4 linked regions of the Astyanax mexicanus genome follow. The protein of the gene in region 3 interacts with the protein of the main gene of each other region in a pairwise test. Links are inferred from orthologs where the notes say so. Each region holds a gene or a part of one and is shown on either strand. Other genes may lie near its edges. The genes, in order: TBC1 domain family member 9B, tax1bp1b, gabarapl2 and bcl2l13.

Region 1 (7,444 bases), on a different chromosome or scaffold from region 3:
GGTCCACATACTTCAGTTAACTCATCACATACTAAGATCAGCATTTTCCCACTGATTTCATTCGACTGACTCAGCGATCTCTCTGAATAGTCTGTTTGTGTGTCATTCACTACAAACTCTTAAGACACCACAACTGTAACAGTGCCTGGCTGTGTGTGGTTCTCTCATTTGAGTGTGTACTCTGATCTCTAAAGCCACAAGTAGTTAATATGCAGCAAGAAACATGATCTCAGCATGGTGGAAACATCTGACAGACAATTGTAACAAATGGTGAATGTTGACCAGTATTTCAGTTTTGATAAGACTTGAACATTGAAATACTAGACTACTTAAACTAAACTAAGCTAAGACCTTTTAAGGTCAATCTTAGCCTGGGCAGCTTGAATATTTCTGATTTAACTCAATTTCTTGCACCAACATGGGTGGAGAAGTTTCAGTTGTGACGTGTCCCCTGCAAGTGTGAAAACAAAGGCTGCCTCTGTTGTATCCTATGAAGAATTTCTCCTTAAAGAGAGCATATTTGTTTTTACACAGACAGGGAGGAGTCGTGGTCAGTGCGGATGGGATTGTTTAGCCAAGTTACCAAAAAAAGCTATAAAATAGGGAGGGAGAGAAAAAAAAAGGCAATCTTTGCCAGCAACTTTATTATATTAAAGTAAACTTTCCATAAAACATGTACTGGGCTGGTTTTACCAAAACTAACTCATCACACTGATTATCTTTGTGGAAAACTGGACCCTGATTGAGCTGTAGTGAGAAAAGAGTGTAGTCAAACATATCATTTTTTAATGCATGTGATTAGAGTTGGGCAATATAGTATTATTGACCTATACATAATATGCTGTTTTGGAGCACACAGTGGGTAACAACAGTGTTTGCAATATGAATGATTCCTTACAATCTTGTTTAATTAGTCTTGTTTACTTGGAAAGAATTAATGCTGGGTGAACCTCTAACCAATGTAATCTTGCATAGTTAAAATGACAACCTCTTTATTTCTCATTTCATTTTTACTCCTGTTAATACTTTATTCTTGTAGTACAGTCTGAGTCTGCTCATGTACTGTCCTTTCATAAACATTCTACAGTGTTCATGATCACTGATCTTCACCCCAATCCAGTCTGCAACATTAAAGCTACAAGGAGGAGAACTCAGGAAAAACAACTGAGAGCAAACTGAGTAGCTTGTACCAAAGAAAAATACAGTGTCTGCTATTCATTAAAATAATAATTATGGATGGTGCACATTGTGGTTATTGTTGTGTACACTACACAGCAACTTCACCACTGCCTGCATTTAATTTTTATTTACGGTGAATTAAGGGGGTAATTAAGCTCAAATAGGGAAGTTTAGCTCTACAAGGTTTGTTTTCTTGCATAAAGGGAAAAACAAATGTTTTTGATGAGCCCCTGCTGTTACACCACAAAATAAAAATTCTTCAGTTGGCTCAGCCAACAGAACCCTGGGGTGGATTTTTACTTTCTAGACCTGGACTACCCACCTCTGTGTAAGTAACTATAGGTTTACATATGACCTCCGGTGGATTTCACGTTTTACAGAGACTCTAAGACTAGGTCAGTGGCTGAACTGCACTTAGCAGGGCATTACACATGATGTAAAGTAACATATGACATTGTAAATACTGTTATTAGTGTAAAAACGTCTGTCTTGCTGCATCACAGTGCCGTTAGTTAATCAGAGGCAATATGTTTGCATGTATGAGTATACATGAGCAAAAGCTGAAATCCTGTCTTTATTCAAAGACCACAAACTCAGTAAAATACAGCAGAGATATATAAAAACACTTACAAAAAACAGCTTACCCAACATTCATTCATACTAGAGACTACTACTGGACATTTTAAAATGAATGAAAACGATGGAATGAGAACTTTAAAGTAGTGTGTCCAACATACAATAAATGCATCAGCAGGTATCAGTTAGAAATATCGGTCAAAACGACTGATATTATTCCGATATCATCGTGCATCCCTACTAGCTGGCTAAGACAATTTTCTGCTGGCCACTAACTTTACGATAATCTAGCTATAATAGTAGCTAGGATTTTTTTATTTGCACACAAGGATAATAACCCAATCTAATTAGACAAAGAAAGGCACTGGGTTGGTGAGTTAATAATTACAAATAAAGCCCAAATACTTTAACGTTAAAAAGGAAATTAAATAGTTAAGCGTGAGGAAGCAGAAGAGCAGCCGCCCCTGTGTTGTTCACTGAGCTACACTGAGATGATTCAGACTGACCTCATCCTTCACACTGTGAGGTGCTTTAAAACAAGCACAAACAGGATGTTTATCTGTAGAAACAGCAGCAGTGTAACCTAACGCTCTCTGTCTGCCTGGAGGGAGAAATGTCAGTATTCAGACATCACACAGAGTCAGAGCACCACGTCCACACACAGACACAGACAGGCGTTGAGACACAGACGCTGAGTGAGAGAGAGACAGCTCTTTAGCTTAGGCTGGGTTAGCCACCGTCAGCTATAGCTTACCTGCAGGCAGTCAGAGAGTCAGAGCGAGTAAATAAACACCGCATAAACAAAGACTTAAACACAACACGACTTCAGTGACATTCAGTAAACTCTACCCCCGGGGCTGCAGACTGTGTTTTAGAGCTGTGTTTCAGAGCTGTGTTTCACAGTTACCGAGCCCCGCAGCGCCTCTTAAACCGCACAAACACACATAAACACGCACCGGTGATTCCGCCTCCCCGGCCGTGTCCCTTCCTCCGCTGCAGGATGAAGAAGGGGTTGGCCCGCTCGCTGACCCACAGCGCGTTGGCCAGCAGCACCTCCTCCGGAGTAATCCACATCTTCTCCCGCTCACAGACCTCCGCCCTGCCCCGCGATCAGCAGCCGAGCCCCGCCGGCGCCCACTAACACCATACCACACCCGACAAGCCCGCGCCCGCCCGCCTGCACCCACTGTTTATCCACACAGCCACAGCACAGCAGCTACGCCAGCTACAGCTACAGCACAGAGCAACACAGCACCAGCCCCGATGACATCACCAACATGACGGCCCGCTGGAAACCCTGTCAAAATAAAGGTGCGGTTCACCTTCCGGGGTCTCCACCATTATATATGTTTTTTTGTTTTTCAAAAACTTAAAAATTACAACACTGTAAAGGCATCGTTAAGTTATGAGAAAGCAATGCATCATGATACGACACATTTACACACATAAGCAACAAAACTTAACATCAAATTATAAAACAAATATTGAAAACTTACATGAAAATAATTAATTATTAAAGTTGTGTTAATATCGATTTTATTGGTGCTATTAATTAGTAATCATTAATTCTGTGATAGAGTTGTGAAAATGCTAATGGGCATATATCTTGGCAATGTTCTTATTGTTCTGGTGTGTAATTTTTTAATTTAAAAATGAACATTAGTGGGGTATTCTTTTAGTAATTTAAAAAGATCTTTAGCACTTCTAGATTTCAGTAATTTTAGAAACTTACAGTTATATTTCATTATAGTAGCATGTACAGATGGGTAAGTGTTTTAACATCACATTTTAAAAAATCTCGGTATATATTTTTCATTTTTTTGTTTCTGGTCTTTACCATTATTATTATTATTATTATTATTATTATTATTATTATTATTATTATTATTATTATTATTATTATTATTATTATTTAAAAAAAAGTGCTGTGTCAAGATACCAGATATCCAAGATATCCATGTAGTGTTCTACTCATCAATTTGCTTTGGAATCTTTCACACTCCCAAAGGCATTTAGGAAAGAAATGATTTGATAGTGTATTTCCTACACTAAGATATTAACTAAAATAAAATAAGTTAAATGCATTTATTTATGTGTAAATACAATAAACATTCCCTAGTTCTCTCTATTTTGCTCCTTAGTTACATACTGAAGCTTAAATACAGTCATACTTATGGACTATGTACCAATAAATAAATTATATGGGTAATAAAGTTATGTCTATTTAACTACTGGTTTGGAATTTGATTGTGTGCAGTATTGATTTATTTTAGGTAGTATGGATCATGTCTTTTTCCAAGTCTCGACTAGAGAGACTTTATAAAGGAGAATTTCCACTTGAGCATTTCTTTCGTGTCGGTTTGACCACGAGAGGGCACTCCTGAGTGAGTCCAAAATGAATGAGTTCATATAAAGAAATTTACCAAAATTAGAGTTTATATTTGTTTGTGCGTGTGTGTGTGTGTGTTTGAGACCACTTTTGCAATTTACAATTTTATTATCATTATTATTATTATTTTTTTCACATAAATTAAGAATTACGTTATTTCACTTTAATAAGTGCTATTGTAATGTAGGGCTTCAACCAAGGATTATTTTTGTAGTCAACTAATCTGATGATAATATTTCGATTAGTCGATTAGTCAGCAATTATTTCTGCCATCTCATCCATCTTTAAAAACAACAGAAACAGCCAAACATGAGATTTAAAGGGCATTTAAATGTCCACATGTTGTGTAAGCATGGAGAGTACTGTTACAAATTAACGATTTCGACAATGAAATTTGTAGTCGACAAATTTAAATAATCAACATTATCGATTTTATCGACCTCATTGCAGCCCTATTGTAATGTACACTCACCCAAATCTTTGTGGACATCTATTCTAATGACTGAACATCAAAGCTTGGACATTCCAAGTTGCAAAAATTAATTTCAGGTAGGTTCCCCCGGACCAATTTGGGATTATCTATCTATATTATATATACTATAGGGGTTATCTATCTATAAAATATAAATCTTGGTTTTGCATGTGTTTCATGAATATGCACACAAGGGGAGTGCCTTTCTCTCCCTCTCCATCTCTTTTAGACATGTGATATGGGATTTTTTTTTTTTTAATGAAGTCATAAGCAGTTATTATACACATTCTGCTCCTGGAGTCTTCTAACATTATTTGCATGAGACAACAGGACTGAAGCAGTTTAGGGGAAAGAGTGTGTATGGTATTAGCCATGTCTTCAATGGCTTGTGTGATGTGCTCGTCACAATGTCCATATAAGGTTTAAGGTAGTTTAAGGTGAATGAATGTACAGCAATACAGAGATTTCTGTGATGACCACATGCTATTAAAGGAGAGCATAGTAGCTACACTTTTAGTCTTTCTTTTACAAAAATGACCCACATGTACCGTCTGTATGCAGCTATCTTTTCCCTGATTTCACTGTAGGCCATTCTGATTTTAAATCTGGTGGTAAGAAGTAGATGTACATCCTTCCTGTAATGTGTTGCCATGTCCTTAAGTAGTTACACTCACTAATATATAAAAGGCTGGTGTTGATCTCTTTGGACTGAACTAGCACATTAGATAACTGACTTTCTTATAAGAGGTTTAAAATCGTAAATTTATTAAAATCAAAATTTTTAGTGCATCCATACAGTTTCTGTAGAGCACTTAAATTGCTTATATATCTGGTATCAGTGCTAAAATAACATGACACACAATTAAGTAGATAATGTTTACAAACAGGTATAAGAAATAAAAGACATGAGACAGAATGTAGGTTGAAATAGAGTTTATTAATATTAATCTGGCAGAAAAAAACTATATACTAACAATAACAATTAAAAAGGATTCATAAAATCATTCTTAAATGCTTAAAACTGATCATTTGAACATTTAAATTTTAGAGAATTCAGAACTAATTCTGAAAATGTGTAAAGCTATTAAATTTTGAAATCTAATATTTTTAAAGCTTTAAATCTAATAAAGTAAATTAAAATTAAAATAAAAGTTAAAAAACTGTTGTAAATTTGTCGTTAACAATTTAAATAACTAAATCTTATTTGAATATGTGACTAGAGTAAAAACAATAATATTAATATTAACAATCTGGCAAAAAAAACTATATACTAACAATAACAGTTAAAAGATTCATAAAAACATTCTTGAATGCTTAATACTGATCATTTAAACATTTACATTTTTGAGAACTCAAAACTAATTCTGAAACTGTGTAATGCTATTATGTTTTAAAAGCTAATATTTTTTTAATGCTTTAAATCTAATAAGGTAAATTTAAAGTAAAATAAACATAAAAAAAACTGCTGTAGATGTTGTGAAATATCTAAAATTGTCGTTAACAATTTAATTAATGAATATTATTTGAATTTGTAACTATAGTAATAATATTTATTTATTTATTTATTTATTTATAAAGCAAATTTTATACATAGAATGCAAGTTTAAGTTTTTAAGTTTTTACAACATAAAGTAATCAGAAAGAGGATTAAGCAATGCAAAAAAACAGTGCTTTTAAACTGGTCTGTAATTGTTCTTAAGTAAGCTAATTAAGCATATAAAAATTAATTAAATTAATAAATTGTTAATTAAACAAATAAATAAATAGGTAATTTAACAAATATTTTAATTAGGAAAATAGGTAATTAAGCAAATAAATAGTTAATTAAAGTCTAATGGTAAGGAAATTTATTAATTTCATAAAAAGGAAAAAAGAAACTTATGAACACTAAAAATTATAAAGGAAACTTATGAACTCTATAAAAAATATATAATTAAATTATGAACTCTAAAATTATTAGGTAAACTTATGAAACTTTATAAAATGATAAAGTAAACTTATCTACTCTATAAAAATATAGCTAGTTAATTAATGGACTATACAATATAAATATATATAAAGTAAACTTATCAGTAATAGATAAACATATACAGATTAATAAATAAAGGATACAGGTTGGATCAGATGCGGCGTCTCTTGCGAGGTGGTGCGCAGTCGTCCTCAGGGAGAGCGATGCAGTGCCCCCCCGGCTTGTGGTCCCTGTCCGGTCGATGCTCCAGCTGTCTGCAGGCAGTTGGGAGGACCCTGGTCTTCAGGTAGGCTTGCCACAGCAGATCCATGTAGCACAGGTGGGCAATATGGCTGCTGAGACTCGGCTCTGTCCTCCCACACCAGGGGGAAGAAAGTGGGGTAGAACAGACCTGCAGATAAACAGAAAAACAGAAATAGGCCTCATCAGTTGTGCTCAAACCATCTAAACTAATTTACTGTTTAATCTGGTACAATTGCACATGTACAGCTTTTATATACCGATCTGATTTGTTTACGTGCTTCACATAGTTCTGTTCTATTAGTAATGTTTAGTGAGAGAGAGATCTAGACTGTTGAGAAACTCACCGACATCTGGGAGGTAAAGCAACTGAGCGAATCCATCCGGCCTAAGGAGAGGAAAGGATGGACAGAGGAACACCAAGGTCTCCACTGTAGCAACTCCGGGTACTGAAAACAACAACATCACCTATTTTTACACACAATTCCAGTACATTTATTCCACATACTGAATATCAGCACTTCTACATTACTGAACAGATCCAACATGTGATATTAGTGTAGAAATGCTGATTTATTGATCCTGTACTGAAAATGCTGATTTATCACAGAAGCTCTAA
Region 2 (7,420 bases), on a different chromosome or scaffold from region 3:
AAATGTTTCAATAACGGTGATATCACTTTTGTGGTATATCGATATGTATTATGTACAGAATCTGTCACGGACAGGCGTTTTTTACTGGCGTCAGCTCGCCGCAGAGCCAAACACATTCAGCCCCCATAGCTGTGCTACCTCAGTGCGTGATGACGCAATCACACAGGCACGTAGCCAGATAGGCTATGCTAGGCTAGGTTAAAATGGCTAGGCTAGGCTAGGCTAGGTTAGGTTCAGGTCCGCTCCGCTACGCATCTAAAATGTCTCGAAACGGAGCCGGGACGAGCGGATCCAAGGCTAGGGTAGACTCGGTTCGGTCAGCCGCTGTTTCGCTCGCCCATTCGCGCGTCCGCTCGCTCATCCGCGGCTCCGCTCGCTCATCCGCGGCTCCGCTGGCCCAGCCGCGGGTCCGCTCGCTCATCCGCGCCTCCGCTCGCTCATCCGCGGCTCCGCTCGCCCAGCCGCGGGTCCGCTCGCTTGCCGCTTTGCTGCAAATTGTGCCGGTGAGTGGAGCCGACAAGCAGCGTAACGTTAATAGATCTAATCTGTTCCACCACCTCAAGCATCTTCACTACATACAATATTTTCCTTATACTGACTGAAGCACTTTAATAGATTATGTTGAAACTAAGTTATTTAAAGTTTATGAATCCTTTAGGTTTGTTTATTTGACGTGGATATCATGTTGAATACCTCTTGTATTCTGACTAAAGCACTTTAATAGATTATGTTGAAACTAAGTTATTTAAAGTTTATGAATCCTTTAGGTTTGTTTATTTGCCGTTGATATCATGTTGAATACCTCTTGTATTCTGGCTGAAGCACTTTAATAGATTATGTTGTCACTAAGTTATTTATAGTTGAAAAATCCTATAGGTTTGTTTATTTGACGGGAAAATCTTGTTGCTTTTATGTATATAAAGGCTATTATATATCCTAGTTAAAACACTTTTGTTTTAATCTGTTAAATTTGTTTACAATGAATAAGAAGCTCTGCCTCTGTTGTCATTTAAAGTTATTTTTATTTGTAATAGTTATATAGGCTTATGTTTGACAGGGATGTCCTGTTATTATTTTACTATATGCAAATAAAATTGAGCATTGATTTATTTTGACTACTTTTATTTCTAAAGTATTAAAGTTTTTGTGAAAGGAGGTTTCAAAGACTTAAAAAACATTTTCATACAGTAGTAGGTACAGATTTCCATTAGATAGATTGATACAAAAAGTGCAAATACACAGTTAAATAATAATTTAAATTTGCAGTGCAAGCTGCAGAGATTGCAGGGATTCTTTTTCTGAGGCCTTCAAAGTATTTATCGATATCTAAATTATATCGTATCGACCGAAATTTAAGGAATATATCGTGATATAAATTTTGGCCATATCGTCCAGCACTAATGTACACATTTTCTCTTCCATTATAAGCTCTAAAGTGATAAGTTAACTAATAGCTCACTGATTGTATTGGTTTTACTGCTGTACTGAACAGAGACTAATAGGGACACTAGCTACAGTGTGGAATAGGTATGATGCCTTCAAGTCCTCCTCGGGAAAATCCTACTTAGGAGGTTGTAGGTGGTAATAACTACTTGACATGCGTTCATGTGTTTTTTGGTCGGGTGGAAATGAACGCCATTTAAAAAAATATTTTGTTTATACTTTTGATCTTTTATCATAAAAAACAGGAGGTTTATTTTGCCCTACCCCAAGTGAATGAAGTGAATAAGACACGCATTAATTGAGTGATGTTTTCATTTCATTATAATATTGAATCTTACAAGACTTTTTTTTACGTATTTCTAGTGATTTTATTAGTAAGCTAATATTAACCTGCAAGTGTTCTAATGTTGTAGCAATAACAGAAGTGTAAGCAGTTTACAATACGAACTGTCTGCATCAACTTATTGACTTTGTTACTGACACGCCCCTCTCCTAACTATAAAACTCAGGGCTTATCTAAAAATACGAGTATTACACTGATAAATACGAGTTTATGGTACCGTCCATGTGCTCTCCTCTCGTAAATACGATATTTCCAACAATAATTGAAGGCAGCATATAATTTTATGTTTGGCTATACTATAATGAAAGAGTTACGTTAGGTCCGATATCACAACATGATGTTATCTAGGTTTCCCTTGTTCCCCTGGACTTTGAATGGTAGCTAGGCTAACTAACGGTAACCCAGCTAGATGACTATTAACCATCGCGTGTGGTACAATGTAAATCAAATTTAACTATAATCGTATTAACTTGGCAAACAGAAACGTGACAGTGGGCATAATATATTAAATACAGTGTAATTATAATTTCAAACTTGAATAAACATGGAAATGTAGCTAGTTTAGCTGCTTAACTGTTAAAAACACTCGCTAATCTAAAGTACAAAGTTCTTCGCTAGCTGCTAATGGGAGCAAAACGCAGAGACCTAGCGCTAGCTAGCTAATAGCTAACTAGCTAAACAATAACAAACGAACCAACCCACAGTCAGTAACTTAGCCAGCTATAGCTATATTAGCTTAGCTGTCTATATGACACTCACATTAATGACACATAAACGCTTAAATGATTTTTTTTATTGGATGGGACTGTTAACCTAACGTTACTCAACTAAGTTAAGCTAAAGAAATTCAGAAGTTAACTTAGCTAGGTTAGCTACTTAGCTTAGCTAGCGATAAGAGGCCGCTGGCGTTAGCATTAGCACTCGCTGGCGATCTATCTGTTGTTGTGGGTTACTTGTTCGCTTTCATTAACAGCGTATTCTGTTTACCTAAACCCCGTTCTGAACCATGTTTCAGTCTAAAAAGCCACATTTCGCTTTAGTTATAATGTACGCTTAGTTATTGTAAGGGTAAATAAAGGCAGGCCTACCTCATGCTGTCAGAAACCTTCTCACTGCTGCTGTTGACGCACTTTACTCAGGACAGTCAACACAGCAGAGAGGCGTCAGTTCCGCCCTGCCTGGAAACGCTGATCTGTTTTGAGAGTGTTTTCAGTCGGTCTGCTCAGCTGCTCAGCGCTGTCCTTCCTTTCCTCCTTCAGAAATATCACCCTTGTGTAATCTATGAATCAGATCAGAACAGCTTTATGAATCTGGAAAAGCAGAGGGGTTTCCCACTGCTCCATTTACTTATACTGAACTCACTAAAATAGACATAAACTACAATATTAAAAATTACAAAAATAAACAATTATTCTTAATAAAAACTAGCTTAGTAAATAACCAAACATACACCTAATTGTACACAAGGAAATGTCAGTGTCATCTTAAAAAAACATAATTTTATAAATTTTGTATATAAATATTATTTATTTGCTATACAGTCAGGTTCATACCCTGCTAAAAAAAATCAATAAGATCAATACCAGCCTGTCATTCAGAAAAAAACATGCCCTACGAACTGCCCTCAGTGATATGTTTTACCTGGATGTGCCGCTTCCAAGCCACTTTGACCTTCATGTACCACCTTCAATGAAACCAATTATCAACTGAAATTAGTGTTCATACGGATTTTACTTAAATGTTTATAAATTCAAGGAGATTTTATTGTCATTTCACATCACATGTGGTACATGAAGTGGAACAAAATTGTATTGTCATGGTCCAATTACACCCAAACAGAACATGTTAAAATGGATAAATATAAGATAAAATAGAACAAAATGAGAGATGTTGGAGTTTCTAGTTTAAGTACATTAAGCCACGTCAGGCTTTTTACCTCATAATAGGTTTCAATGGGAAGAAAAGCCACATTAAGCCTTTTTATGTTAAGACTTTTACGTTTAAACTCTTTCCTTATTGGTTCTTTGTAGATCCAGATCTTTGGTTTTCAAGCATGCTTCTGGAGCTGCTTGTTACCTGCTATAACATACCCAGCTCCCTCAGCAAGGGCTCATTAGTTAATTAGTTGGATCAGGTGTGCTGTAATTAAACAATAAAATCTAAAAGCAGTTTATGAGTTTTTGTGTAAAATGTGTCACACCAAAAGACAGTGTAAAATGGAACTGATGCAGGAGTGCTAGAGGCTTGATTTTTTTGTAAGCATTAAAGCTTGTTACCTTGTAACTTTCATGCGTGAAAGCAAAAAGACGGTTTTTAGGATCACATGAAATCGGAAAACGGATTTGGCACTTTCACACAGCCATGAAAGAAGCAGATATGAGCAATATTGAGCCAAAAATCTGACTTCAGCCTTGTAATGTGAGCATAGCCTAAGTTGTAAAACATTAATATTTGGCACATTCAACTTCCATTTTGAGAAAATGTAGAAATGTATTGAAACTAATTTTAAATATTGTAAGTTTGTAAATAATTATGCTTCTAAGCAATATTGAGCAAAAAGGACTTCAGCCTTGTAATGTGAGCATAGCCTAGGTAAAAAAATGTACAACATTAATATTTGGCACATTCAACTTTCATTTTATGAAAATGTAGAAATGTATTGAAACTAATTTTAAAAAATATTGTAAGTTTGTAAATCATTATGCTTCTAAAGTTCTGTAGAGTTCTGTAGTTGTTGCACCAATAAAGACACCATACAAACATAGCTACAAAAGTTTCATAAGCATAGAGTGAAAACCAGATACAGGCCCAAAGGAGAAAGCAGCAGTCTGATAACCTTCATTATAAAACATTCAGCCAATCAGACTGGTCCTTCAGAGGATGTTCCGCCTTCGCGTGAGACTCCGTGGAGGAGGAGTCAGAGCAGACTCTGCACTGCATTGGACAGACGAGCTGTCAATCTTGTCCCACCCAATACGTGCGCTGTGAGTCGGAGGTCAGCAGCGCAGCAGCATGGCCGCTCTGTTAAGGAGGTCTCGGAGGTTTGTGGGACAGTGGCACAACCATGTCGTCTGTGTGCAGGGTATGCTCTCTTTATTCACTAAATCCTCTTCATTAACTGCTTTTATATGGATGTTTTGTGTATTTGCGCGCTGCTTGGCATCACTGCTCCAAAACTAATGGCACGCTCCAACCAAACTCGAAGATTGTAGTGAACTGCAGCGCTGGCTAATGTTAACCTAGCTACCTTAGGTTGGGTTAGATCAGTGGCTGTTAAGCTGTCAGATATAACTTAACTCCTTAACATACCTTGTCCCGTATACAGGCTACAGGTGTAGGTGATACAAAATAATTTTTTCTGATGCAAAATAACTTATTAGATTCTAAACATTTGAGGGCTTTGAAATTACCTATAGGACACTATATCTCCTATAGGAGAAGCTGCATGTTCACTCTCTACTCCACTTAATAATTCCAGATCAGTAACAGAATTCAAGCCAAATCCTGCAGGTTTGAAAATAGACGTAAAAAACTAGACAAACATAACGAAACTAATGGTCTAGAGGACATAGACTTTTTGATTTGTATTCAGGACAATATTGATTTTAAAATGAAGTTCAGGAACGAGCTATTATCATTATATTTTGATATTAGCAGATTTACTTTAAATATTTTTATTTTATATTTTATATTACTATTACAATTATGCTTTTCAGTAATGTCCCTTATCAATCATGAAAGCTTTTTATGTAATGCCTGAATAGAAGTCCTCAAGATTTAGTGGTGTAATGACAGGCAGACAATTGACAGAAATCCTGGCCTGGTAAAGGGGTTTTAACTACAGTCATGCTGGTGTCAGCTGTAAAAGAGCAAATTTTGCTATATAAACTTGCTTAAATGCAAATGCAAAGAGGGTGTTCATGTTTAAAATAATGTATAAAATGCACACAATGCCTTTTTTTTTGCTTTATCCACTAGGAATCTTGAATAAATATTGGTTTTGTTTGTTTGTTCACCTTGAGATTAGCCAGCTATCTACAGAGTTGAAGGGCAGTACTTCTGCACAAGGGCTTGTATGAGCTTTTAATCAGTTTTAAATGTGTCTCAGTCTCCAGGTCCATGGCCTCCAAGACCCAGGTGGGCTTCGTTGGGCTGGGAAATATGGGAGGCCCCATGGCCAAAAACCTCATCAAGCATGGTTATCCAGTGATCGCCTGTGATGTGTTTCCAGAGTCCTGTAAAGAGCTTCAGGAGCTCGGAGCTCAGGTGGGGGACAGTCATATTTTCATTTTTCCAGAATACAACAGTATTGCATTTGTCATATTAGGGGTGAGACATATAAATAAATGTCAATATATTAAAACTATTGCATACAAGAAATGAAAATCACCATATTCCTAGTATCACACTTGTTATGCAGTAAAAATGCAAGGGTCATTGTACGGAAATGCTGTGGTTTCCAGAGGGTTAACACTCAACAAAAAAACAGACAGACACCCAAACATTTTTACTTTTGATGCCTATTAGCGGGTGTCTAGTTTGAAAATAACTACTATTTGGCACATCTTATAGACTGAAGTACAGTCCACAATTTCTCAACAGAATTGAGGTCAGAATTTGGAAAGACTGTTACAAAAGCCTAGTGTTGGCGTGCTTCCTTATTCATTTAACAACCACCTTTGATGTGTATTTTGGGTCACTGTCCTGTTGGGACAAAGTTTTAACTGTCCAGCTAATTGTTTGAAGTTATGGTAGCCCAACTTCTTCTCCTCTTCGTACTTCATTATTCTATACACTTTGTGCAATGAACAGTTCCAAGACCCAGAGCATGTTGCTACCACCACCATGCTTAACAGTTTGTGCCATGTTTTTTAGGATGAACAAACTTACATATGGTTAGCTGAAATCTTAAATAAAGCTTGAAGGAGTCAATTTTGGAACAAGGGCTTTTTCATTTGGATAACAGCCTCTCATTTCATGGAAATGTAAAACTTTACACAGGTGTTACAGCAAGTTAACATTTAACAGCGGTCCTGTGTCTTGGTGCTTCAATTGTTTTTGCTGGTACAAATTAATTTTCTCTCAGCTGAGCGTGACCGTTTTAAATCTATCTCCAGATGATGGAAAAGTATGTATTTTTATTTATGTATATTTGTAATACAATGTTATACAGAAAGGAACACACAAATTACCACAATTGCTTCTCCTAAGTTTGTCTCCACTGCCCCATTTTAAAACTAAACTGCTTAACTTATTAAGATATTTGTAAAACTAAAACACAGTCATAACTACTAGTATAGTGCTTCTTTCTTACTGTATCAACAGATTAGCAGTTTACATTAGTGTCATAGTTTTTCAATGTAAACATTTTTTTGGGCATGTTTATCTTCTCTATAAATGAAATACAACTAGAATACAGGGCAGATTTGTTGTTTTTGCTATGGAAATAATTTTGTTTACTTTGCTATGGAAATTAGATCTTGGACTCGCCTGCAGAAGTGGCAGACAAGTCGGATCGGATCATCACGATGCTCCCCTCCAGTCCTAATGTAATTGAAGTGTACACCGGCCCTAATGGGATTTTGAAGTAAGGGTCTTTCTCTCTTTTTTTTTTCTCCACCTTTACTCCTTTAA
Region 3 (6,914 bases):
TGCCTTGTGGAGGTTGCTGCTGATGTCACTAAAAATTATTTCTTCACAGCACTCGCAATGTTCCTGTCATCCACTGCTGCAGTTTTTTACTTGGTGTACCTGTTAACATCTGTTATTTAGTACACCAGTGACGAATTTCTTCTTCAAGACATTCAAAACTGTTGTTCTGGCTATGGACAATATGTGTGCAATGGTTCTGATAGATTTTCCATTTTCTCTCAGTTTCACAGTTGCTTGTTTTTTACTCATAGACAGCTGGTTTTCATGTTGGTTACTTCTCTAACTTTAAATGCACAGTCTGCAGATCTGAAACTGAGTGTAGACATTCTGTGCTATTTATTGTTTGAATAAAATACTTTTGAAGGGCACTGTATAAGCGTCTCAACGGGCATTAAATGTGAGTTACGACTGAACATTTACATTTGAATTAAGGAGAAAAACTGAATTAAGGAGGAATATTTGCTTTGGAAACTATCAATTTACAACACAGACATATACAAATACATATAAACACTTTCTCTTACAGTTTCTTGCTTGATAGGCTCTGATGATGCTGGCCAAGTCATAGGAAGTAGCGAAGGGACTCCCTGTTTCGACCACTGACACCTAAAAAGAAATATAGCACGTAAACACACCTACAAAAAGCATTTAAAAGTGTGGTGTAAAGTATGAACACAAACTCTCACATTGTAGGCAGCATGTAGACCTCTGTGTGGCAGTGGGATCTGTTGGTGGAGCCTCAGGTCCCCATTGATGAACAGCTGTGATCCAGGAACGGAGGAGGAGTGCTGAATAAAGGCCATAGACTGCATCACTACAGTGGACATCCGCTACAAAAAGAGTGACATGAATTCAACCTGACAGTTCCACTTGTTCAATCAAGTGAAAAAAAAAATTGCAAATGCAGTGAGAAAAGCATCAGAAATATGTATGGCACAACAACCCAGTGTTTTGTTTACTAATGTTTGTTGGAGTGTGGAGTGTATTTTTTGATGATTGTTGGTTGGTTCGATGGCAGCTATTGACACCTGATGTTTGTTGCTATGTAATATTGTATGATGCAAACTGATTACATTTGATGGCATTACCTAGTGTCTGCTGGCATTTGTAAGTGTTTTATTATATATTTGGTATTAGAGTTTTTTGTAGAGTTGAGGTGATTTCTGCCATTGGACTGTATTTGGCGTAGGGTGGCATTTGCTTGTGTTTGTGGGATTTTGTTGAATAATTTTGGGACAGTTTGCCCTAAATTAAGGGTTAGGGTGTGTTTTTGTGGTACTGTGCTGATACACACAAACAACTGGTATGAGAAGGTGAGGAGTAGCTGAATGCTGTAAATCTGCTCTTCTGCTTTCAGTGGAACACTGAGCTGGAGACGCAGCCGGTCTGATTTTCCATCCTGATTGCTGTCCTCCTCCTTGACCTGCAAAACACAAACATGTGCTTTTAAACATAATACACTTATTTCATATGCCCACACCCACTGTCAAAAGTTTGTTTCTTCCACCTTTGTACTGTCTATCTAGCTGTGTTAACCGAACACTCCAAAAGCTATTTAGTTATTTGGAGCTACTCAGACCAAAGCTATCTAGTGTTGGTGAGGCACCATAAAAATTATATCCACCGCCTTCCAAAGAAAAGAACCTGTGTTTATGAGTAAATAACATTTTGTTTGTGATGCTCTGGTGAACTCTGGGAACATGTTGTGTGCTAGCTAGTTTGTGGTATTCAAACTTTTGTGTACATTTCTGTGTCTGTAGTACTTACAGACACTGCAGGGATGCGAAGGTTGCTTCCCAGCAGACGGTTAAAGTCAGGAAAAGTGCTCCACGCCACAAATTCTCCTGCTGTTCCAGTGGCTCCAATCATTAACATCTGGTACTGGAACTGCACAACCGGCTGCTCCTCATATGTGCTTCTCTTCAGCCAGAATCCTGCAAACAAAGAAAAAAAACATCAGTTACTGATGAAATGCTGCACTGTATTGGAGGTGTCAGTCAGTAAAGCCATGCACTGTTTAACATGAGCTCCTGGAGTTCATAAGCTAGTCAGCACAGCCAGTATATTAAGTAAGTCCATGAGCAAGTTCACGGGGTTAATATACTAAATTCTTACAGTATACCAGCTGTATTAATGAGGTGCTGCTGTAGTGAACACTTACCTTGGCTCTTGTAGGCGACCAGCAGTGGCGGGATGTACGTAAGACAGAAAACCATCAGCACGAACAGGGTGGCGCGAGTACACACATTGGTTTTATATCTTATTAAAGCAGGGTGGGAGTACACTTCATAAAAAGCCATCACTGAAACCCTCCTCGCTGTTCTGAACTCGCTCTGAAGAACAGTTCTAAACTCGCTCTGAAGAACAGTTAAAACCTACTGAGAAATAACAGTGGGGCTGTTCTGGTTAGCATTGGTTAAGGTTAAGCTGTAATGGAGATGTGTTAAGGTGTGTTGTGTGCTGTAGAATCGGTTTCTCTCGTATTTAATTCGGATTAAATGTACTGTATCTATCAGTTCGGCCGCAGACGTGCAGTGCCTAATTCGGGTTTAAAAGCCATGCTAATGCTAATGCTAACGGTAACTGCTCCTGAAGCGAAGCGTCCCAGCGTTACCATGACCGCCTCCAGGAAACAGAAAGCGAACATCCGCCCACAGTTACCATGGCCACCCACGCCCCACCCCCTCTGTTGTCAAATATATTTATTATTCCACCTCTTAGCAAAAAACTTAAATCATACCAAAATAAAGCTACCATTTAAAACAGATTTATTACTTTTTTTTTTGCAACGTTTTAAAAAAGGTCCCAGGAAGGAACATTACAGATAGTGTTCCAGGAATGTTATTTTAACGTGATGTGCAGGAGAAACACGTACACAAAAGTGTTATATTCTGTATTTAATCACCACAGAACATATAGGTGATTTAAAAATGAACTCTGCCACTGAAAATCAAGCTAAGAAGCTGAAGCCCAAATATGGGCATAACAAAGGCCACAGAATTACCAGTATTTATAACATACTCATTAACCAATAAATAGCCTTAATAGTATATTAGGCCTAATTTTTTTTTTTATGACAATATTTAAAACAATGGTTAGAGACAAACGTCTGGACATAGCTCTCCTGGTTTCTGGTATACTGTGTGTGAAACTGATCTGATTACTGAATTGGACATTTCAGACTATTTGGTCCACTTGATTTCATGACTGATTAGAATGCAAGACAATTATTAATACGATAAATAAAATAAAGGACAATAAAAAAAACATATATACAATGATAATTTACATTTAACAAACATGTCCTAATAAAAGGTTTTCCAGACATATATTCAGAATTATGGTGAACGTACATTATTTTTTTTTTCAATTGCTAAACAATATGAAAAGCCCATATTCAGTTGTAAGGATAAATATAAATGTAAAAAAAAAAAAAACAAGCCTGTAGGCCACCCTCCCACTTATATCAAAGAACACTAACACTAAACCTTATATATATATATATATATATATATATATATATATATATATATATATATATATATATATATATATATATATATATATATATATATATATAATATTGATTATACAACCTTTATCTAACATTGGCTACCTGAATTGAATCAACGTTCACTTAAAGGTTTTAAATGATTAAGGCTCTTTTAACACTTTTCAAGTTAATGCTTTTTAGGATAAAGGTGCTTCCCACAAATAATAAAACTATGTGTTATAATATGAATTATGCGTTAAATGTATATTTCAAGCTTAATATAATACAAACAATATTTACATATTTACAAATCAAAATCTTTGGGGAATGTGGTTGGTCACCGGGTGCAGGATTTAACCCGAGTCCTGTTTCGGCACATCCCCCACAGAGCTGGTTGGTATGACCTGCATGACGTCAGCCGTCCGTCCAGCAGTGCTAAAGCTAATGCTAGTGCTAAGGCTAATGCAGGCGGAGTGTTGACACCGCTGCTGTTTTCAGGATAATCTCCGTTTCTGTCTCTTTCTGCTCGGGTTATTCTTGCAGCTCCTGTACACTGATTCATTGTTTCACCGCACTGGGAGAGGGCCGCCCGAATCCGCCACCATGAAATGGATGTTTAAAGAAGATCATTCTCTGGGTAATTCTGTTTAATCTGATATAAAACTGACTTTTATCAAACCCACACAGACCCGCGCTCATTATTCACCGCCAGTAAACACCAGCCTCAGATAATGTGGAGATCTGTACCTGCATGTCTGAATACTAGGGGCTGGTCGTAATCATGTTTACATTGTTAGGCCGTGCGTGTGTGTGTGTGTGTGTGTGTGTGTGTGTGTGTGTGTGTGTGTGTGTGTGTGTGTGTGTTAAAACGTTATTAGCTAGACGTAGGGTAAATAACTACACCACCCCTTCACTGACCCAAAATAAACCATCTTACTATAGAAAAGCGATCACACCTTTATTCAGAACTGCTGTCTGTTTAAAGATCCCATGTTGCTCTCCATGATCTATTTTAACACTGATTTTTGCATTGGTGCAAGGGAATATACTTGTTGTTATTTTTCCCCAACCTCTCTTTATAAATGCACTCATTTTATTCAAAAGAGACGATTTTCTGTCATGTGGAACTAGAAAATACTTGAATAAAGTATTATCTCATGTCACACTTATCAATATGTTACAGACGACCAATTGATATTCAGTAGCTCAATATTGATTATCAATATAACATCCTGAGTTCTTGTGGCCAGTGTGTGCTAAAGTGCAGTTATTAAAGTGTGTCTTCAGGACAATGCCAGCCTCTCTGACACTAATGCCCACTGATGCTCAGAGATCATTATCAGCAGAGCTTATAGCCACGCTTCTTTTATTATAAGCATACAATAGCCTAAAGTGTTTTATTGTAACAAAACAAAAACAGTAGAACAAATTTTTGCATCCATCTGATCTGATAATTAAACTATATAGCCTTTTAATTTATTATTTGTATTAAATTGTATTTTAATTCTAAAAGCTGCTGACAAATGATTTTTGTTTTTGTATAGTTTTTACAACTTATGTTACCAAGCATTTTTACAGAACTCCCAAGAAGCCTGTAGCCTTGTACTGATATATTTTTGTTTTAATTTTATTATTTATCTTTAAGATCGAGTAAGTCTCAGGTTATCATTTTTAATAGTCTATTTTTAATTTAATTCAATTCAATTCAATTTAATATTTATACTGTTGATCCTGAAATCATTAGACTGGCAGACTCTATCCCGGTATTGATTTCTTTATTGTTTACTGTGGACAGGTTAAGAGTCTGCACATTAGTGTTTGAGCTAAGTGCTTGGACAAGAATGTTTGAGCAGCATTTTCTGCTGTTAGACTGTAATACATCTTCAAACTAGAGAGAAAAATAGGCTAATAACAAGCTCTCTTGCCTGTTCTTATTAAAGTCTCTGCAAATATAATTGCTTTTCCAGACCGGTTTGTGCACTCGTTTAACCTTTGAAGAAAGCTGAGCTGATAAAACAAGCATATTATTTAATATTTCTTGACTGATTGCTGTTTTTATTTGAATTAAATTTACTGACATATTTTTAAACAGCTCTTAACCTGCATTCTCCTGTTCTTCCTCTGAGCTTCACTTACAGCTTCTGTGTTGGGTTGCCAACAAGAACCAGTGTTTAAATAACACTCTTTAATTTTTATTCAGTGTTTTATAGTGTTCTGTATCAGAGCACTACTGTATATACACACTATGTGCTTGCATAAATGAAACAAAATAATGCATTCAGCATTACTTATTATGCTTGGTATTAGGATAGGGATGTTAGCTGGGGTATCTTTTTGTTTACCAAAGCACTGGCTACCTTTCTATGCGTACCATTCGAATCACATGTGATTTACTGCTGTGACTTCCATATGACATTAACACAGTACTGTCAAAACACTGCATGACACGCCGATAAATTGGAAAAGTGCTTTGCGTCATAAAGCACCTGCTTACATCAGTGTGCAGTGCAGGCATCGGTGATTCTCCTAATCATATTTTCTCGTTTCTTATCTTTAGAGCACCGGTGTGTGGAATCGGCCAAAATCCGCAACAAGTACCCTGATAGAGTTCCAGTGAGTATTAATACTAATCAACATCATGGACTTAGAGATCATTATTCTTCTACCTCAGTGTATTTCACTATGTCTGTACATGTATTGTGTGAAACCACTGTTTGATATCCCAATATTGATGTGAAATAAGATAAATAAAGATCCTCAATCAGTTTAAGCTTAAGAGTTTTTCTCAGGCTGAAGATTAAGTTTGATGTGCGTGTTAACAGTGGACTTCTACCTCACCTTGTCTAACTAGTTATGTCACATGAGTACAGTCTGTAGCATTAAGGGCTCCATTTGTGTTTATGGTGAAAACTGTGATAACAATGAAAGTAAAATTTGTCTCACTGCCCTAATATAGAAGAAATGCCACTAAACTCCAGTGCTTTTATAGAACACCAGTGGCCTAAACAGTCGTCTAAAACTGCTAAAGCCCTTTAGCCCCACAATGAACAGATCCACTGGTCTGTTTAGGGTGAAATGTTGAGGTTTGTTCAGTGCACAGTAGTGCTAGCTTAGCCTGTTGCAACATTCCTACACTACACTGACATGCCAACTGTGATGGGACGTAACTAATTTTGTGTCCCATGACTTTTGCCATGTCCTATGGAAGCTAAAGAACGCTGCACTGACCTGTGAGATGTGTGTGTGGGGCCTCCTGCATTAAATGTAGATGTCATTTCTGCCAGAGTGACCTTTCACACGGTTTAACGGTCTACATGTTAAATTATAAAATCAAGAATGTGTAAATACAACTTTGTAAATTGAACTTATCATTCATCTAACACCCACTATCAGGTCCTAAACTTGTTGCCTTGTCATAAGA
Region 4 (8,024 bases), on a different chromosome or scaffold from region 3:
CAATCATACAATAATTGAACACTTCCTGAATATTTTTAATCTTAAACATCTTGTGTTCTATTGTTCCTCACATAACATGAACCTATAGGCAGTGGTATAATATTCACTCTAGGTTGTCCTACTCATTTAAACTCACACAGGCTACATACAAACAGACCTAAACCACATGCTAAGCATATATTAGCCTTTACCCTTCCAGCACTGCTGGCATCATGTGATAGGAGAAAAATGACTGGACAATGGAAATGACTCAAAAGAGGTAAAAAAGGAACGGTATGAGAAGGAAGGGTATGTCTGTATGCGTGTGAGTAAGTGAACTTGTATTCCATTTTTGTAGTTTCTTTACTGACAGAGTTTGAAAATTCAAGCTGGCGTTTACACTGCACCAAAATTCATGAAAAAGAGACAAAAATATATATAGTCCTATTATGTTAGATAAACACAGTTTAACAGTTAAAATGTTTTAAAATGCAGCTGCCTGTTTAGAAAGTGCAGGAGTGTCTGACTGCAAAATGACTGATAGTAATATCTCCCTGCCATCCTTATCAGTTCACTATAAGTGACAATGGTTAGTAACAGCAGGAAAAAGGAACTAAATTCCAACATCATTCTTTCTCTCCCAATTTATATTATATTTGTCACAAACAGACCTGTAACACAAGTAAATCATGACAACATACATTAGATGCAGTTTACAGGCCCATTCACAACCTTATAATCTGCCCCTATAATGAAACAAGCCGGTTTTATGGTGGACTCAAAAATAAATTTAGTTAATTTTAATTATACCATTCAAATAAGTATCCAATCTATAATTACCACTTGGCCAGTTTTGACTACAACTAGCAGGGCTTTCAGCAGTGGGCTGGGTTTATGTCAAGTTTGGGTATGTAGCAAAAAAAAAGTCAAGACTGTTACGTAACAGTTGTATTGGAAATCTTCAAAGCATGCTTTTTCACACTCTGTACATTCTGTACATATCAGCTGAACTGCTAAACTGAGGTAGGTGGAGCTGACACATAATACAGAGCCATGCATATAGCTTACCCTCTGCCCATGACCTGTCCTTTACAACTGCCCCCCCCCCTGGTTTCAGTGCTTAGATAAACACTTCTGAAAAAATACATACCCAACAAAACACAGAATGTGAATTAATGAAGGTCTTTGATGTTAGACTCTTCTAACTGGAGCTGTAACAATATGCTGTGAATGAATGTGAATGTAAAGGTTTGACTACTTTCTCTCTAAAAGGTATTGCATTAAAAAGCAAGAGTTTACATTTACCTTCTGCAGGCCTTGAGTGTGAGGATGGGGGCAGGCTGAGGTAGCTGAGGAGCACATACTTGGTTTCATAGTGGAACCCTTCAGGCACAGTGGTGGAGGAGCCAGAGGCAGCCATTGAAGAGACGTGTCAGGCTCTTGGGTACATGAACTACTGCCTGATTGTTTCCAAAAAACCTGGTGGGAGCATAAACAAATTTTCAGTATTTGCTGTACACTTTAGACACTCATGTAAGTTCATGTAAGGGCAATATTTTAACAATTAATAATTTCAGGACTGCCATGATTAGTTAAAATTAGTTGACTCCAAATTTCAGTGCTGACTAATCGTTTCTAAACATGGCACTATACGTGTTAAGGTAGAGACTGGACAATAGAGTGATATTAACAGGTGTGCAGAGCTGAGTAGCTGTGCTTTCAGGAGGCAGTTATTAAGGTAATGGCAAAAATAGTTGTTGACTAATCAAAAAAATGAGAAAAAAAGGACAGACTACCAAAATAATAAAAATAACAAATGAAGCCAATAATACTTCATTAGGCCATTACCTCAATAACTTTTGCTCACCTCAGTGTTCATTAATGTGAATGAGGTGGTAGGTCAACTTTTAACTGTTTAAAGAGGGTCTTTTCTAGAAAAAAAATGTAAATCTGTCAGTAACACTGCAAAGCAGTCAGTTTTTTTTATTATTACACAAGACAGTTGGAAAGAGTAAAACAGGACCTGTTGAAACAGTGATTTATGAGTAAATAATTTAAAACTAAAACAAGTTGTTTTAATTTTGTGCAGATTTTTATAACTTAAGATATTCTTCGATTCCAGATGCAATGTTTTAATACTTTTTAACAGATAAAATATCATTGCTATTTCAAATGTAAATGTATTATTATTCAATTATATTATCTTGATATTTGTGGAATAAAAGTACAAGTTGGTTATTGTGACAGGACTAAACCATGAACTAATACTACTGTTAAAAAAAAGAAGAAAAAAAAGAAAAAAAGGTCTAAGGAACTACTTACATTTCCTGGCACACAAAAAGACAACACATGCTAGCTTGCTTAAAAATAAAAAGACTAATGTCTCAAACCCCACTTTTAGATAGCTAACCTAGCTAACTAAAGGTTAAAAACTGAGAATGTCACTGCTCAGGTTGCATCACATGGATGAATGAGTTTCGTACTTAGAAGAAAACACGTTTAAAGTTTGTCACAAAAACAAAACAAAAAACAAACAAACAGAAACATCTTGTCTAACTAAAAGTTACATACTTACTCCGATTATTTTACCTTTCTGTTGTTTCTACAGAAGCTCTGTCCCTTACACTGAGCACAAGGGCATGCAGGCATTCACTAACATTCACACACTCTCACACACACACTCACCACACCTACCATGCGCTGACTTCTTAGCACGCCTCAGCACTACAGCTAGCCAAGCTAACTTTAGAGCCACTCACAACAACAACAACAACAAACAGTGGCAGCCAGCAGCGCTGAATAAAAACCACAACGGTGTTTACCTTGCCGACACAAACACTTCAGCTGTGAAGAAGCAGCAGCAGCAGCAGTGCGGGTCTGACACAGGCGGGTTAGCTTAGCTCGCTGGCTGTCAGTTAGTACCAGTGAAGTAGCTAAGCTAGCTGTACCGGAGCTAGCTGAGCGGTTAGCAGCGTGGCTACTGTGTTGTGCTCGGGTCAACCAAACCTTTTTTTGGACAGCCCACATGCACTCCCTCAAAGCCCACACTATAGCTACAGAGATTATGTAGCACCAGCCAGTATATTCAGGAGCAGCGCCGAAAGTTAGCTAACTACCCTTTTTTAACAAAAGAACTGTGCTTACCTAAGTTAACTAGTTAGGTTAACTAGGTTAACTTAAGTGTCAACAGACGTTTTCTTAAAGCTGTAACTTGTCATTTTATCAACACATTTTGTTTGCGTCCTCGAACTTCAGTTAAATTATTCTAGTAAATTGAATATTATTATTATTATTATTATTATTATTATTATTATTATTATTATTATTATTATTATTATTGTTGTTGTTGTTGTTGTTGTTATGTACAATGCACTATGCATCGTTAGAATACAGAAAATGAAAAAAAAAGCATGGTGCAGGGCACTAGGGTATCTTTTAATTAAATGTAGTTATGTATTTTGGGTGAAGTCAAAGAAAAAAAGGGAAATATATATTTTATTTATTTATTTTATTTATTTATTTTTTTTACTTTGGAAAGACAGCCTATTATTGAAAAACACGTATGGATCGATACAAAAAAATAAAAAATAAAATATATATTAATAATAGTGATAATAAAAATATTATTATGTTTGTGGCAAAACCACGGAATTTGCATGAAAGGGTCCCACAATGTAATTATTACATTAAATTGATTAATTGAATTATTTGTTTAAATGGATTTATACGGTTTATATTAAACGTGAAAAATACAAGCAGATGTCAGTTTTGTACCGTTGTTTTAATAGTTAACGTTACTGATAGAGTGCTGCTGCCCTCTACTGGTTATATCATAACAGTGACGAACAGGGTTCGTTCTTTATTTAAGCGACATATCTATTGAGTTAAATCAGTGTCAACAGAAGCATACATACCATTCTTCTAAAATACACGTGTAGAGCAAAAGGAACAGTACAATAAATACATTGATAGTAAAGAACACTAGGCACATATACAGCACAGGAGGAAAGTATGAGGCCTGAAAATATATTATGTAGGGTTCAAATTTCTGAGAACAAGAAGTTTGGGTTGCACCAGTTTTGCTTAAGTTCCTTCTTAATTTTGTGTGTAAAGTATCCTAAAAGTGTAAAGTCTCCGTTGATACAACTAATTAGTTACTAATTAGTTTCAAACTGTCTATTTACTAAATCTGATGGTACCACAAATCCGTATGTTGGGTCTTAACTAGTAACCTAGTTACAAATTACACATGCGCAGATCATGGCAGTCAACACGTAGCCATGGAAACGCAGTTCTGAAACACCAACATATAAACGGCACTTACAGCATGTCTAATTGGATAATATATGGGATAATATATAGCATATAGTATATATAGTATATTGATCATTATATTATATATACACTGCTATTGGATAACTTTATGCCACTCCTGGTGCAAAAAGTCAGTTCAGCTTGATTTGACGGTTTGTGATCATCCATCTTCCTCTTGTTTATTTTCAATTTGGTAAAATCAAAGAAACTCATCATTTTTAAGTGGTCTCTGCTTATATATATTGTATTCCAACATTCTCTTTTTTTACAGTCTCATATTTTTTATGTTTTTATATTTTATACATATTCCAATATAAATATAAATTAGATACTAGCTACCATATATAGAATAGTTTGTGTGGTGCAACATGTTCTGATTTAGTAATGCATAAATATGAGTTTAATAAACACATATGCTACAACTAGCCTGTGTTTGAACTATACGCACAACTGGCCACTGGTCCCTCAACACCACCTCTAAGAGCAGCTGCTCAACCCTTCCAACCTGCGCAGACTGAGGACAGCAAGTCTCCACCCTCCAATCTCAATCTTTATACCAAGTACTACAGACCCTACCCCAGCCTTGTGTTTTTATTTTTGTTGTTGTTTATGCCTTATTTGTGACTTGTGAAATATCAATATCACGATATCCAATAGAATTATCACACACCACATTGTTTGCCCATATTCACTAATAACACTAATAGTAAGAATCTGAGACACTTTGACAAAAACTAAATTTTGATGGCCAAACATCTGTTTCAGAATATTGCCAAAACATCAGGCTGGTCTTGCAGTAGTCAGTACAGGTCAAATATGCTTCAAGGAGGGACAAACGGTGAAGTAGTGTGAAAGTCATGGGTGGCCAAGGCTCATTGATTTTCATGGAGGCCCCACCTCTCAACTTACAGTACTTAATAGAGCTGCTGCTGTTAATGTCTTGGTGCCCTATAGGACAGGACATCTTCAGAAGTTTTGGAGGTCTGGAGTCCATTCTTTGACAGGTCAGAGCTATTTCATCAAAACAACAGGGATCTACAAAATATTAGGAAGGTAGCTTTAATGTTATGACTGATTGGTGTATATATCTTTGATGTCACACAAAAATGTGACAGCAAAAATCACTTTTTGAAAAATGACCAATACTCCAAATAGTCTTGGAATACAATATTTCTACATCAACATCAATTGAAAGTTCCTCCTTAACATATAGTACTGTAGAATTTTTGTTTTTGAACCAAACTATTTGTCTTGGAGCCTAAAAAAAATAAAAGGGCCTTAAAGTTTAAACAGTCCAACAATACACTTATAAGCTTATATGCATTTATGACATTGGAGACTTATACACTACACTGTTCTTCTAAAATAAGATTTGGGCCACTTTCTGGACCACACTTTGCAAATCCCTGATCCAAACTTTTACATACAGTTGACATATTTCCACATTTTTAGTACTTCCTAAGTAATTAGGGTCCCTAAGTAGTGTTTTCACCACCCAAAACTATGGAATGTTATATAAAAAGGTTTAAACTGAATTAATACCTCATTAGTTGTGTTAATAAATACCAATGTAAACCAATGGATTACACAGTATGTTTATTGCACTGCATCTATTTTCATAATTAGTCATCAGTGACATCTTAATAAGATTTTCTACTAATATCATGATTAGCATAAACAAAATTACTTACAGGAACTCCTGATGGATCAACAGCTTATAGCTAGGAATGCCAATCCACTGTTCCGATGGACAATCCCTATTTTTCCTGGAAAATTTAGAGGGGACTTTCCAAATTACCCTGTCAGTGGGGATTCTCCTTTGATATTTTATGTTCTCGATAGTCCACACGCAGCTGCACCGCGTTTTGTCTGTAGATCCCCTGTAAACTAAACTCTGTGCTGTGGTCAGAACTTTCTAAAAATGACAGTAGTAGATAATTATGAGGTTGTGGGGTTTCCTGTGTGTTCCTTCCCGTTCCTAGTGAGGATTAGTGCAGGAATAGCTAGATTTAACGCTGTAATCGAACCAAAAGCAGAGCAATTACAGTTCATCTCATCTGAACATAGGGCCCCTAGTCTCCAACTTCATTTACATTATAAATGCTCACAACACTTTTCACTCTGTTTCTCAACTATTCATCCACAACTATTCATCCACAACATAACAAAATATAAATTTGTCAAAACATAGAAAATTGCTCTATTTAGTATCTGAAATTATTCAACTATTATTAAACAATAATATTTTCCAAAGAACTACTCAGTCAATTGTACAAAACATACAATCATAATATGGACAGTATTGGAAATCCATACTGTATCCATTTATATTGACCATTAAAAAGGACCATCCAGATTGTTAACAGAAACAAGCGCAAAAGCCAGGCTCTGTTATGGTACAGGGCTGTGTTTTGTGATTGCAGCATTAAACCACATTATAGCAACATATGCTAAATTCAAATTAACATACTTTCCAGAAATATCCATGTAGAATGAGATGCACACACATTGTTTTTTTACAGAACGCTGTGTATAGAAAAGCATTGCTAATACAATAGGATGCTGTGAAGCAGCTGCACATGAGCCTCAGGTCACCATGTCCAATGCAAGCATGGGCTAGAGGCCTGTAAATCCCCCAGAGCTGGGATATTGAGCAGTGAAGAGGAATTCTCTGGAGTGATAGTACTCCCTCCAATACCTTTTGAATGAGGTAGAGTAGTGTTTGTGATCCTAAACTAATCTCCAAATACCAGTATTTGACTTCACTAGTAAAACTGGGGATAAAATCTAATTCTTACAGCAATGTTTCAAAATCTTGTGCAAAACCTTCCTCCAGAGAGTATGAACAACTACTATGTTAAAGGGTAGGGGGCAACATCCTTGTTTACTTTTAATTTTGGAAGAAAAATAAGTGAATAAGTGGATGGTTACAGACTTTTAGACATAGGGTGTAAATGTTGATGCCAACTTTGTTTGTTTCTACTGAAACACAAGTCAGCTAAGCTTCTGTAAGCAGTATCCTCACTGTGTTTCCATTAAATTACTCTCACTGACAAAAAAGAATAACGATTACAGATTACAACTCAGGGTCTTGCCAAAGGTGTAGAGGGCATACAAGTTTTCTGTGGAGTGAAAAGTCCCCCAGCTGCTGGTGTGATGATCTGGGGAGCCATTGCATATAACGGTTGGTCACCCTCAGTAGTTATTTGAAGGACAGTAACAGCTTAGCAATATGTGCAGGAAATCCTCTGTTCCTCTGTTGCTTCCAACAGGCATTTTCAGTAGGATAATGCTCACCCACACAAAGTAAGGGTTTTCTAGGAATGTCTCCACCAGATTGCAACACACCCTTGGCCTGCATCTTTTCCACATTAATTGACAATCAAGCATTTATGGAATCTGCTGGGATGCCATCTTCTATAACTTAGGGTTATGCAGGATCTACTGGCCTAGCTACAGCATCTGTGAGCAAATGTCCTGCAGGAAACCATATAGAAGTTGAATGCCCCCATACCCAATTGTATTTCATTTTAAATCCAACACAGGTGGCCAAACAAGGTACACTTCACACCATGAACACACACCACAAACTTCACACTCAAACACACACCAAAAACTCCACACCACACAGCACACTCCTTCCACTCACACACATACTGCATACACTCACATCACACCCGTGCCACACAGACTGACCATTGAAGAACAGAACAAGGATTTTTTTTCCTGCT

Evidence for each region.
Region 1: the proteins of gabarapl2 (region 3) and TBC1 domain family member 9B interact in binary tests that used the Homo sapiens proteins (3 or more experiments, as listed by UniProt). The link is inferred for Astyanax mexicanus from reciprocal best matches to the Homo sapiens genes GABARAPL2 and TBC1D9B.
Region 2: the proteins of gabarapl2 (region 3) and tax1bp1b interact in binary tests that used the Homo sapiens proteins (3 or more experiments, as listed by UniProt). The link is inferred for Astyanax mexicanus from reciprocal best matches to the Homo sapiens genes GABARAPL2 and TAX1BP1.
Region 4: the proteins of gabarapl2 (region 3) and bcl2l13 interact in binary tests that used the Homo sapiens proteins (3 or more experiments, as listed by UniProt). The two-hybrid records come from large-scale screens. The link is inferred for Astyanax mexicanus from reciprocal best matches to the Homo sapiens genes GABARAPL2 and BCL2L13.

The regions. Positions count from the first base shown.
Region 1 is NC_064409.1:65,606,064-65,613,507, reverse strand, and holds the start of TBC1 domain family member 9B, read right to left. Parts: upstream 3,016-7,444; 5' UTR 2,830-3,015; coding exon 2,712-2,829; intron 1-2,711. UniProt on the Homo sapiens protein: May act as a GTPase-activating protein for Rab family protein(s).
Region 2 is NC_064413.1:42,619,164-42,626,583, reverse strand, and holds the start of tax1bp1b (tax1-binding protein 1 homolog B), read right to left. Parts: upstream 3,026-7,420; 5' UTR 2,875-3,025; intron 1-2,874. Other genes in the region: hibadhb (3-hydroxyisobutyrate dehydrogenase b), read left to right, coding at 4,799-4,868, 5,895-6,052, 7,264-7,373.
Region 3 is NC_064417.1:10,973,344-10,980,257, reverse strand, and holds the start of gabarapl2 (gamma-aminobutyric acid receptor-associated protein-like 2), read left to right. Parts: upstream 1-3,904; 5' UTR 3,905-4,096; coding exon 4,097-4,130; intron 4,131-6,050; coding exon 6,051-6,106; intron 6,107-6,914. Other genes in the region: tmem231 (transmembrane protein 231), read right to left, coding at 525-606, 687-830, 1,295-1,423, 1,768-1,934, 2,162-2,300. UniProt on the Homo sapiens protein: Ubiquitin-like modifier involved in intra-Golgi traffic. Modulates intra-Golgi transport through coupling between NSF activity and SNAREs activation. It first stimulates the ATPase activity of NSF which in turn stimulates the association with GOSR1.
Region 4 is NC_064416.1:24,766,026-24,774,049, forward strand, and holds the start of bcl2l13 (bcl-2-like protein 13), read right to left. Parts: upstream 3,016-8,024; 5' UTR 2,802-3,015; intron 2,753-2,801; exon of another isoform or gene 2,555-2,752; intron 1,459-2,554; 5' UTR 1,400-1,458; coding exon 1,285-1,399; intron 1-1,284. UniProt on the Homo sapiens protein: May promote the activation of caspase-3 and apoptosis.